Stegostoma tigrinum: one gene and its partners. The protein of the gene in region 2 interacts with the protein of the main gene of each other region in a pairwise test. Links are inferred from orthologs where the notes say so. Each region holds a gene or a part of one and is shown on either strand. Other genes may lie near its edges.

Region 1 (3,750 bases), on a different chromosome or scaffold from region 2:
GCTGCTGTTTTCTGTATTGCACACTACCTGGCTCCTTGACCTTCAGCTCAAATTTGACCTTTGAGCTTCCTGCAATGACTGTGTAGACTCCGCTGTCAAGGCTGCTCACTGCATGGATGGTTAGGGTGTGCTTGGTGCCCTCTGAAATGATGGTCCATCGGTCACTCGCTGCCATGTCTGCACCATGCTGCTGCCATCTCACCTTTGCCACCCCTTTCTCTGTCTCCGCCGTGAATGTGGCATCACTGCCCAGGTTGAACACTGCGCTCCGTGGCTTCTTTGTGAAGGAGGAAGCTGAGCAGAGGGAAGAGGGAGGTGGGACACAACAAAGGGACAGGTTTTCAGAAAGGTGCTCACTCCAATGACAGTGCTCAGCCTCACACCTTCACTACCAACAATCTGTCTGTTTCTAACCCACTCATACAGAACACTCTTCAACATGCAGATCCCCACACACATAGGCACCACCACATGTCTGCACTGTCAACCTACCTGGCACTCTCCTCTCCCTACTCAATTACGTTACCCACCCCTCTCTCCTCCGCTCCCACTCATTGTCTTCCATATCCACCCATGAACTCACTCTCATCCCCTCCAACATCCCTCGGACTCTCCTCCACCAGCAATGTAGCAGGTATTTCAGATTCTGAATGGACACATCCCAGGTTTGGAATGGGAGATACTCCAGAAAAACTTTAAGTACGAGTTGGATTGGATTTTTCCATGTTAAGAATCATTCTGTTTAACCATTAAATGACTGATCTCTTTGTCTCACTGACCACAAGCGTAAAGCCCTAGAAGCTTTAACTGTTCGGAAGGGAGCAGCCCAAACTGGGGGATACAGAGTCTGCAGCCACTCAAGGCGTGAGACAAGCTTCAGTCCTTGCATGATGGAGAGGAGAGTTAATAATGTTAAAAACATTGTCATTCAACTGACTGCTAACATTATTTTCATTCACAGGAGCTGGACGTCACTGGCTGGGTCAGCAATTTTTATTGCCTGTCACTAGTTTCCCTCAAGAAGGTGGTGGTGAGCTGCCTTCTTGAACCACTGCAGTTCATGCGCTGTAGGCAGATCTACAATGCTGTTAGGAAGGGAATTCCAGAATTTTGACCCTAAAGGAATGATGATAAAGAGTCAGTCCAACTTACTAATGTTTGTACTTACAAACAATCCCATACATGGGTATATATTTTAAAGATACAGCATATGAACATTTCCTGCACTTAAGAATGGCTATCTTATATTGACCTAATATAGTTTATGACTTACGTAAAAATCAACTTGTGATGGGACACAAGAACAGAAACAGTTCACAAAGAGGGACTGCCTGTGTTTCCAAGTCAGGAGGGGGAGTGGTTTGGAGGGAACTAGCAAGTCGTAGTGCTCCCATTAATCTGCTGCCTTTATCCTTCTAGATGGAAGAGGTTATGGGTTTGGAATTTGCTGTCTTAGCGAATTCAGACAGTACAGATTTGTAGATGCTGCTACTGAGCATTGGTGGTGAAGAGAGTGGATGTAGTGCCAATCAAGCAAGCTGCTTTGTCCTGGATGGGTTTAAGCTACTTCAGCATTATTGGAACTGCACCCATCTAGGCAAGTGAGAAGTATTCCATCACACTCCTGAATTGTGCCTTGTCAATGGTGGATGGGCTTTTGGGAATCAGGTAGCGAGTTACTCATCGCAGTATTGCTAGATTCTGATCTGTTCTTAAAGCCATTATGTTTACGTAGAGAAGGATTCTCCAGCATCTGCAGTTCCCATTATCACCTGTTTACGTACAGAGCCCAGTTGAGTTTGTGGTCAGTGATGTTGCTAGTGTGTGGCGCAAATTTACTTGCCACTTGTCCACCCAAGCCAAGTTATTGTCCAGATCTTGTTGGATTTGAACAGTATCTGAGGAGTCACAAATGGTGCTGAACATGATGCAATCATCAGTCACGTTGCCAGGTAGCTGCTAGTGTTGTAGCTTTGCTAAAGGAGCAGCAAGTTCTGGTGCATAAGTCCTCAGCACCATTGCTGAAATGTTGTCAGGGGTATAGTACCTCAGGGCTGGCTGTTTTTCTGGATCTGGGACTCTCCAGGTTGGAAGCAGTTCAGAGGGTTTGTCAAAGGAGAGCTGTCTGGTAGGGTAGGGGGTATTTGAACGGAGTTGTTCATCGGGGTGATGACACAGCGAGCCTTTGGGCTGTACTGCAACACATCACTAATCCTCCTTCTGGAACTCCCGGTCAAACCTGCGAGCGCAAGTTCAACTCTCAGTTTGAAAACACATGACTTCATTATGGAAAGCCCTTCTCCAACACCCTGTCCGCTCCCCGAACACTGACCCTCCATCCCACAGATTCTCACCTGGTTTTCTCCCGGCTTCTGACATTCCGCTCCACTTCGTTAAACTTCGCTCCGCTCCCGCTGGCCAAGAGCAACCTTCAGTATCGGGTGCCGAACATTTAAATTCAGGGTCGTGCACGTCAGAGCCTGTCACTGCGCTGAGAGCGAACCAGAGATGAGCAACTGGCGGAATACTCAGGCTAATACATAGCAGGGCTGACAAACAGGCGGAGGACACCCGGGCAGACAGGCACAGAGAGACAAAGCAGAAGTGCAGGCTGAGCTACATGGATAAACAAAAGTGAGAGGCAGACAGAAGTATAGGCAGAGCTACACCTGGACCGAGTGATAGACAAAAATACAGACAGACAAGGAAAGGCAGAGTGTGAGAGGCAGAGGTACAAACATGCAGAGAGCCAGAGGCCAGCAGAGGTACCTGAAAAGCTACATAGATAAAGAACAAGATGCAGGTAGAGGAACAGGCAGACACAGAGAGCGAGCTACTTCTGTGTACAAACAAAGGCACAGAGGCAGACCTACAGAGACAGAGAGAGGCACAGAGATAGGCAGAGATAAAAATAGAATGAGTTGGTGGCAATTTACTGGACTAATAATCCTGAGCCCCAGATTAATGCTCTCCTCACAGCAGGTGGTGAAACTGGATTGAATAGTTGTCTGGAATTAAAAGCTCATCTGGTTAACTAGTTTCCGTAGGAGTTTACGGAGGAATGACTCCACACCCACAGCAATGTGGTAGACTCTCAAATGCTCTCTGAAATGACTTAGCAAGCCACTCATTTGTATTAATCGCTATGAAGTTTCAACAAAGAAATGAAACCGGATAGTTTTGACATCGGGACCACAAACAGCCATGTTGACCCTGCAAATCCTCCTCACTAATATCGGGGGGCTAGTGCTAGTGAAAATTGGGAGAACTGAGTCACAGACTAGTCAAGCAACAGCCTGACATAGTCATACTCCTGGAATCATACCCTACAGTCAATGTCCGAGACACAACCGTCACAATCCCTGGATATGTCCTGTCTCACCGGTAGGTCAGGCTCAGCAGAGGTGATGACAGAGTGATATACAGTCAGGAGGGAGTTGCCCTGAAAATCCTCAACATTGATTCCTGACCCCATAAAGTCTCATGGGATCAGGTTATTCATGGGTAAGGAAACCTCCTGCTGATTACCATGTACCGTTTTCCCTTGGATGACAAATCAGTGCTTCTCCATGTTGAGCAATACTTGGACGACGCACTGAGCATGGCAAGCTTGCGTAATGTACTCTGGGTGGGGGACTTCAATGCCCATCGCCAAGAGTGGCTCAGCAGTAGCACTACTGAACACACTGGTAAGGTCCTAAAGGTCACTGCAGGTGCAGTGAGTCTGCAGTAAATGGTGGGGCAACCAAC
Region 2 (3,750 bases):
AGTATGATAAAATTCAGAAAACTTTAAAGGCCTTCTGGTTTGTGAAATCAGCATCTATTTCACATCAAAAATCTTACAGTTGCTCCACATACTTTGAACTTTTTATCTTCCTCTGGTCACATTTACAATGTTTATTAAAAATTGGTGCTTATTAAAACTAGTTACACTGTAATTACACCCTCCTACCAGTGAAGGCATTGTAATATTAACATAAATTGAAGGATGTTATTACATAGGATTTTTCAATTCAGAACATAAGATCTTTGCTGGCATTTACACTCATTGTGGGCCTTCTCCCAACTGCCTTCTCCAACCTACTTTCTTGCCATGTCAACAGATCCTTTTATTTGTTTTTCTCCATGATGTATTTATCTAGCTTCCCTTTAAAACCATCTACAATAATCTCCTTCAACCACTTCATATGGAAGCAAGTTTCACTGAGTTAAGAAACTGCTCCTCAATTCTATATCAGTTTGATTAGCTATGTCTTAATTTTGTAACACCCTTGGTTCTGGATTCCCTTACAGGTGGAAACATCTCTATATCTGCTCCATCAAAGGCCTTCATAATCTTCACTGTGAGTTGTTCACGTGGGCAGTTTCCATTAAAGAAGGAAACATATGAACTTGTAACAGAACTGTAGAAGTACACACAATATATAACAAACTGAGCTAGCATCTTTGTAACTCAGTCCAACTGTCCCTGAACTTATTCCCACTTCAACTGAAAAATACAAGATTTGGGTTCTTGATGTGTTCACATGATATCTCAGCAAATACCTCCAGGAGGCATCATTGCAAGCAATGCATAAGACGTATCATAATAATCACTTTCCCAGCCTGGCAAACGTATTTCCATCTTCTCTTCCCATCACCCACCTGTACCTCTGACCCGAACAACAAGCTTGATGCAGAAGATGAAATGGTTCCCCAAGCTAACCTGATTCCCTCTTCCTTGTAGATATCAATGATGTTCTCCACCAGTAGGTTCCTCTGCAGTCCATATACCCCATGACGGTCCAGGATAACTTCATGTCGACAGGATGGGCACCTGAACCTACCTCCAGAAATCATGGTACCTCGACCCTGCCAATATGGATTAGCAGCCTAAAAAAAGCACATACATATATGTATCTAGAAAATGTTTAGCACAAGCTCACAGGTTAGCACTGTACCAAAACTGGATGCAACATTATACCTACTCATCATTTTTAAAAATAATGTCAAAAGATATCACACTTTTTAAAGTTTCTGCTTTAAAAGATTTTCAGAAATACTTACTCACCTAAAGGTTTGTTAAATTTTATATTAAAGAGGTCTCCCTAAGTCTTGAAGATCATTCCTATATTATAACAGTAACTTTACTTGAAAAATATACTTCATTGATCATAAGATGCTTTGGGACAACCTGACATTGTGAGCAGTGTTAATGAATTCAAATTCTGCCTTACATCCTAGCTTTCTAATCTGTCTTTCTTAACTGCCAATAGTGCAGACTGTGCACGGTCCAGGTTCACTTTTAAGTTTATGTTCAACTAGCTGATCTCAGACTTCAGTTGAGTTGCTGCAATTGGCTTCAATGGCCTTGGTCTGAGGAAATGGGGAGAAATTAAACCATGGCTCCCATTGGAGTTAGTGCAGGTGCAAGTGAGGTATGGGGACACAGGAGGGACAGCAAAACTCCAAGTTCTATTTGTATAGCACTCGTGGCATGGTGCAAACATCCCAGGGCATTTCACAGGGGTCATATTAAACAATACTTGACACCAAGCCACCAACTGAGATATTAGGACAGAGGATTGAAGTCAATATCTGTGCCTTACTGCAACCCAGCAAGTGGTCAGAGCTCTCCACAGAAAGTTGGAAAGGAGTTACCCATTTCCAAATGTTACTGTCTTTGAAAGTTTGGAACACTGATAAGAAACCCCAGTTTGCCGAGTTTTGAATGGACACAGCTTAAAAGCACTAACCTGGAATACATCATTGGCACATTTTCTGCACAGATTGTGTTGGCATGGCAGGATCACAACCGGCTTTTCAAACATTTCAAGACAAATCGGGCAGATGAGTTGCTTCTCCAGTGTCTCCATCGTGCTGGATTCTCGGATAATATTCGGCTGGAACTCCATCTCCAAATATAGCAAACACCACTTAAAAACCTGCTGAGTTGCGTTGCCTTTTTCTTCTCCCTGTCACTCTCGTTGCTTTCAGACAAATTCCGTGTTAGTATCCTCTTCAGAAGAGATTCAGTGGAGCTCAGGCGTCGTGATAAGATTACTCCTTGTTCCTTTTCTGTCTGTGCATGACAGCTCGTCCTTTTTATAAAGATTTCCAGTGTCACATGATAGCTGAGGTGGGGGGTGGGGGAACCTAGTCCTCAACATAACTTTTCCCATATTAGAAACTTGCAACGTGAAACTGAGAACAAGCAGGACCCGGAGATGCAGTCACATGTGACACTCAGAAAAACAACTTACACAGAAAGAATAAATAAAAATAAAGTTGCTAAACATTTTATATAACTGCCAATCGATCAAGGTGAGTAGAAAACATCCTGTCCAAAATGCCCAACAAAAACAATTTTGTTTTCACTGTGCATCAAGGGAATTTTGAAAGCGCTTTGACAGGATTTGTAGACAATCGTGAACATTGACAATGAGGGAGGAAGGCATTAGAAAGTTAATGTAGGGCTTGGTTATCTGGATACTTCTGAAAGCAGGAAAGGAGATTGTGAAGAAGTGCAGTCTTTTGGGGATAGGGATACTCTCAGAGCAGGGGATGTGATGGTGGAAGAGTAGAATGAAGCATCCAGCAGCCAGGAGTGAAATGAAGAATAGGCCTAGCTGGGTTTGCTTGGTGAGTCCAGAAATATTTTAGATGTGGCTGATATTAAAGAAAATACAAATCCTTTCCACTTATCAATTGCAAAGATTCTTCAGCTGTTGAATTTAAAATATCTATTAAGAGCCAACGACATTGACACCCCAAGAATGAAGTTTGTAAAAACCAGCAGATATAAGTCCTGGAGTTTCCTCCACATATTTGCCCAGCTGCCTGAAAAGTGTTCAAGCCAATCTAACGGCTTAAAAATTGGACATGTGAGTCATGAGCATAACTAGAATAACATTCTGATTTTCCTCAATGTTAATAACCACGGAAACTGTCCAAACAGGTTTCCACCCACACCACTGGAGACAACCCCCTACAACCCCAACTCTCAATTACAAGTAACTCGATTGTCCTTGTTTACAAATCTCACCAGGACATCTCGTGGTACCATCACAATCTCAGCCACTGGACCAGAATGACTGGGTGTCAATCCCACTGCAGGTTTTAATGGCCAAGAAAGGTATATTCATAATGGCCAAATATGCTGAGATCAATTGACAAAATCCTTCCAACATGAGCCAGTGATGGCGTTTAAGGAAAGGAGATATTCCTGATCAGCCATGTGATAGAACGAATATCGGACGCTATGCCATCACAACCTACAATTCTGACTGCAACACACATTTTAAAATTTATTTACTTATGGGACATGGGCATTGCTGGCTGGCCAGCATTTATGGTGGTGAACAATTAAACAACTCACAGGAGGAGGACACTCTACAAGTATCCCCATTCTCAGTGAAGGAAGAAGCCTGACACATCATTGCAAGAGATAAGGCTGAAGCATCCACAGCAATCTTCAGCCAGAAGTAATGAATGGATGATTCATTTTGGCCTCCTCCAGTGGTTCCCCAGCATTATA
Region 3 (3,750 bases), on a different chromosome or scaffold from region 2:
TTTGCTCCTGCCTGTTTGAAAGTTTACAGGTTTCATGGTGTCCACGTTCTTGTTCAGAACCGTCTCACCTACCCGAATTTTGTAGGTCGTGGATCTGATCTTGCCTCTTAACCAAGCAAATAACCTTATCCTACGTTTCTATAAATGCTGTGTCTTCAGTCACCCATTCACCTGCCATAATCTGTTCCTCACAACAGTCCAATGTCTGAGTATGCAAACTACATGGTGCTTTATCACTTTCTATGTCTTATTCTGATTCTATTAGTGTGTAATCAATGCCAATCATCCTCAAGAAATGTACCCTAACAGTTTGGTTGCTGTGATGTGAAAACACTATTGCTCCCTTACACTATAATCTATAGAGAACATTCCATTAATATCTTTCACATTTTTGAACTCCTCTTTTCCATGGTATCAACACCAAACTTCATCCCCTGAAGTAAACCGTCTCTCTCACGTAGAAGAGAGATGTCCGGCATTACTGTTCCTGATACCGTTTCACACTTCGACCCCCTCCCACCTCGGGTCTGAGAAGATCAGATTTAATCTGCTGCAGAATCTTATCCCCATGAACAACGCTGCTGGAGCTATCCTTGTAGTTGCACAAGGGTGGTCTGATAATCAACAGTTAGGTATTGAGCGAGGCTACAGGCTGTTTCTTTAAACCTGCCTTCAAGGTTTGGACTGCTCTTTCCACCAGACCACTGCATGATGGGTGGCATGGAGCTGTGTTTAAATGCTAATGCCAGTCAGCTTTATTAAATACTCAAATTCCCTGCTGGTAAATGATGGCACACTGTCCATTGCCAACACTTCCAGGAGCCCAGTACTGCCAAAGATGCAACTTTTCAATTGTTGTTGCCACGTTTGATGAATGAACGCTATGCACACCCAACTACTGACTGGGCATCCACTGTGACTAACATTGTTGAGATCATGAAAGGACTGGTGTAGTTGACTTCTAACAGAGACCAGGGTTTATCCAGCCATTCTCACAAACATGGGGGAGCTGCTAGCAGTGATTTTTGTCCTAGTTGACACTCTGGGCACTGTCCGAACAATACAGCCATATCTACATCCCACTCTCGTCACCCCTGAAACACTTCCACCGCAGCCCCGGTATCCCTTAAACTGAGTTATCAGTCATTCGCACGTGCATAGTTCTCAACACTGGTCTGGCTTCCTCAGAGCCAGGTCTAGTGAGCAGAACCTCTGACATTCTTGTTTATATCTGTCAGCCAGGGGCTCCCTGATTGGACCACATTAACAGCCACAATCAAGGACATCATATTCTATGAGGTCAACTTAGATGAAGTTGTTGCAATGACTACAGTCCCCACAGGCCTTTACCCACCTCTCATCAGAAATATATGTTTCTTTCTTGAATCTGATAATTGATTCCACCAATGATGCACTCCCAGAGAGGGACCTCTACAGGTTTCACAACCCTCAGGAGGTCGTTTCCCCTCAATTCAGTTTTGAGACCCCTTTTCTCTCACTGTACATTTACGACCTCTTTTTCTAGGCTATCCAGAGGAAAACATCTATTCGACGTCCACTGAAATCATTAATCCAACCCAAAAAAGGGGGCTTGTTTCCAGTAGCGGCGTTCAATAGAAGACCTCCGAAAGCATAACCGTTAATTTCACAATACCGGAGAAAAAAACTGCCGTTAAAAACAGGAACATTAAACTAAAGCCGGAAACAAAAAAAAGGTTGGATAAACTCGGTAGGTCTGGCAGCATCTGTGGAGATAAAGCAGAGTTGACGTTTTAGGTCCGGTGACCCTCCTTCTTATAAAGGAGGCAAAATTCCTCAGACTCTTGACTAAACAAACAGCAGAGATAACCGGCCGCGGTAAAAAAAACGACAAACTCCTCTCGTTCACAGGCAGTGACCGAAGGTGACCCTTCTTACCTGAGCGCCGGCGACAGCCGACCGATGAAACCTCTTCCGCGACAACACACCAAAAGTACTCTGTACAAACAAACACAAGTCAGCGTTACTGCAGAGATACAAAGATCCGGAAGCCGCTGCAATTAACCGATGAATTGCCGCCACCATTGCAGGGAACGCTCGCACCTTCCCTCCACGGAGCAGGCTCCTCAGCGCCGCCATTTTCCCTGCACCCTTCAAGGAGTCTCTTACTGACGTAAACTGCTGCGCGCGATAACGGAGGTGGGGGGGGAGGGGCCCTGACTGCTGGCCAATTGTAATATATATTAGAAGGGACCGTTTTGTCGTAATCGCGCACAATGTGGGGCGCGACGTGACCACGCCCGCCCGGCGGCGTTCACTTTCGCTGGTTTATCACCCCGCCCCCCCCAAAACCCACAGACCGATCCACCGTAGGCCCCGCCCCTCTCCCACGGCCGCCTCTTCGTCCAGGCCCCGCCTCCCCCGCCCAATCAGTAGCAAAGCAACAAATTGCCGCGAAAATTCAGCACGTCTGGCAGCATTCTCTGGAGAGAGAGCAGAATTCAGCATGGTAGGGGTGACCGATTGGTGGGGGTGGAGGGCAGAGGGAGATGGTGTGAGCAAGCTAAGAAATGGGTAATGTCCAGTCTGGAAGGAATCAAATGGTTTCTACACTAAACGAAATAGCAAATTACTGCAAACGCTGGAGGTCGCGGCAACTCAGACAGCGTCCATGGAGAGCCAGCGCTGCAGCTTGCATACCTCGATACCCTTAAGAAAGAAAGTCTTTTCTTGAGGCGACGGAAGAGGCAAAGGGTGAAGTGAAGACTTGGGACCGGCGCAGCTTTGAGACAGGGTGAGTGAGTCGGTGTTGCTGCATTGTGGAGTGGAGTGTGCACATTCATGTCGGTGCACGGCGTTGATGGCTCCACGGGTGCTGACTGACCCCGGCGTTTGTCGTTTTCAGTCTATATCTACTAACCTTTTGCAAACTACGATCGGGTCTGACGAACTGCAGCCGAACGCGAAAGTATTAACTCTGCTTTTTGAGCACGGACGCTGCCACACGTTCGCCCGGCGATTTGTGTATGGCCCGCCGTCGCATACTCCGCCCCTGTAATCCCTCCTCCCCCCGCCAAATCCCGCCCCCACAATCCCGTATACACACCGCCTCCCACTCCGCGACAAACCCCAGCTCTCTGATGAAGGGTCTAGGCCCGAAACGTCAGCTTTTGTGCTCCTGAGATGCTGCTTGGCCAGCTGTGTTCATCCAGCCTCACATTTTATTATCTTAGAATCTCCAGCATCTGCAGTTCCCATTATCTCTCAAACCCCAGCCCCAGCACAGTTCCCCTCCCGCCCCCCCCCCCGCAAACACAAGCCCCGCCTCAATCCCCCGGCAAACCCCAGCCCCAGCACAGTTCCCCTCCCGCCCCCCCCCCCGCAAACACAAGCCCCGCCTCAATCCCCCGGCAAAGCCCAGCCCCAGCACAGTCCCCCCCCACTGCAAAGCCCAGCCCCAGCACATTCCCCCCTCCGGCAAACGCCAGCCCCAGCACAGTCCCCCCCACTGCAAAGCCCAGCCCCAGCACAGTCCCCCCATTGCAAACCCCACCCCCACCACAATCCCCCCTGCAAACCCTGTCTCCACAATCCTCCCCTGCACTCCCTCCCCACAACCCCCACCCCTCTTTAGGTGGTCCACCCACCACCATTCACCTGTCATATGTGACCGTTTCCCGCTCCGTCCTGGACACTAGCTCCATCATTCCTTCCCTTGCTGTACCTGACAGGCCTTCAAAGCCACGTAACCCCCTACCTCCGGCCAGCTTC

What was found.
Region 1: the proteins of E3 ubiquitin-protein ligase TRIM63-like (region 2) and mybpc3 interact in a two-hybrid assay, tested with the Homo sapiens proteins (2 studies listed by BioGRID and IntAct). The link is inferred for Stegostoma tigrinum from reciprocal best matches to the Homo sapiens genes TRIM63 and MYBPC3.
Region 3: the proteins of E3 ubiquitin-protein ligase TRIM63-like (region 2) and pdhb interact in a two-hybrid assay, tested with the Homo sapiens proteins (2 studies listed by BioGRID). The link is inferred for Stegostoma tigrinum from reciprocal best matches to the Homo sapiens genes TRIM63 and PDHB.

What each region holds. Positions count from the first base shown.
Region 1 is NC_081370.1:12,000,322-12,004,071, reverse strand, and holds the start of mybpc3 (myosin-binding protein C, cardiac-type), read right to left. Parts: upstream 2,479-3,750; 5' UTR 2,380-2,478; coding exon 2,355-2,379; intron 295-2,354; coding exon 28-294; intron 1-27. UniProt on the Homo sapiens protein: Thick filament-associated protein located in the crossbridge region of vertebrate striated muscle a bands. In vitro it binds MHC, F-actin and native thin filaments, and modifies the activity of actin-activated myosin ATPase.
Region 2 is NC_081377.1:30,190,309-30,194,058, forward strand, and holds the start of E3 ubiquitin-protein ligase TRIM63-like, read right to left. Parts: upstream 2,279-3,750; 5' UTR 2,129-2,278; coding exon 1,970-2,128; intron 1,107-1,969; coding exon 940-1,106; intron 1-939. UniProt on the Homo sapiens protein: E3 ubiquitin ligase. Mediates the ubiquitination and subsequent proteasomal degradation of CKM, GMEB1 and HIBADH.
Region 3 is NC_081364.1:52,377,553-52,381,302, reverse strand, and holds the start of pdhb (pyruvate dehydrogenase E1 component subunit beta, mitochondrial), read right to left. Parts: upstream 2,216-3,750; 5' UTR 2,119-2,215; coding exon 2,083-2,118; intron 1,978-2,082; coding exon 1,918-1,977; intron 1-1,917. UniProt on the Homo sapiens protein: The pyruvate dehydrogenase complex catalyzes the overall conversion of pyruvate to acetyl-CoA and CO(2), and thereby links the glycolytic pathway to the tricarboxylic cycle.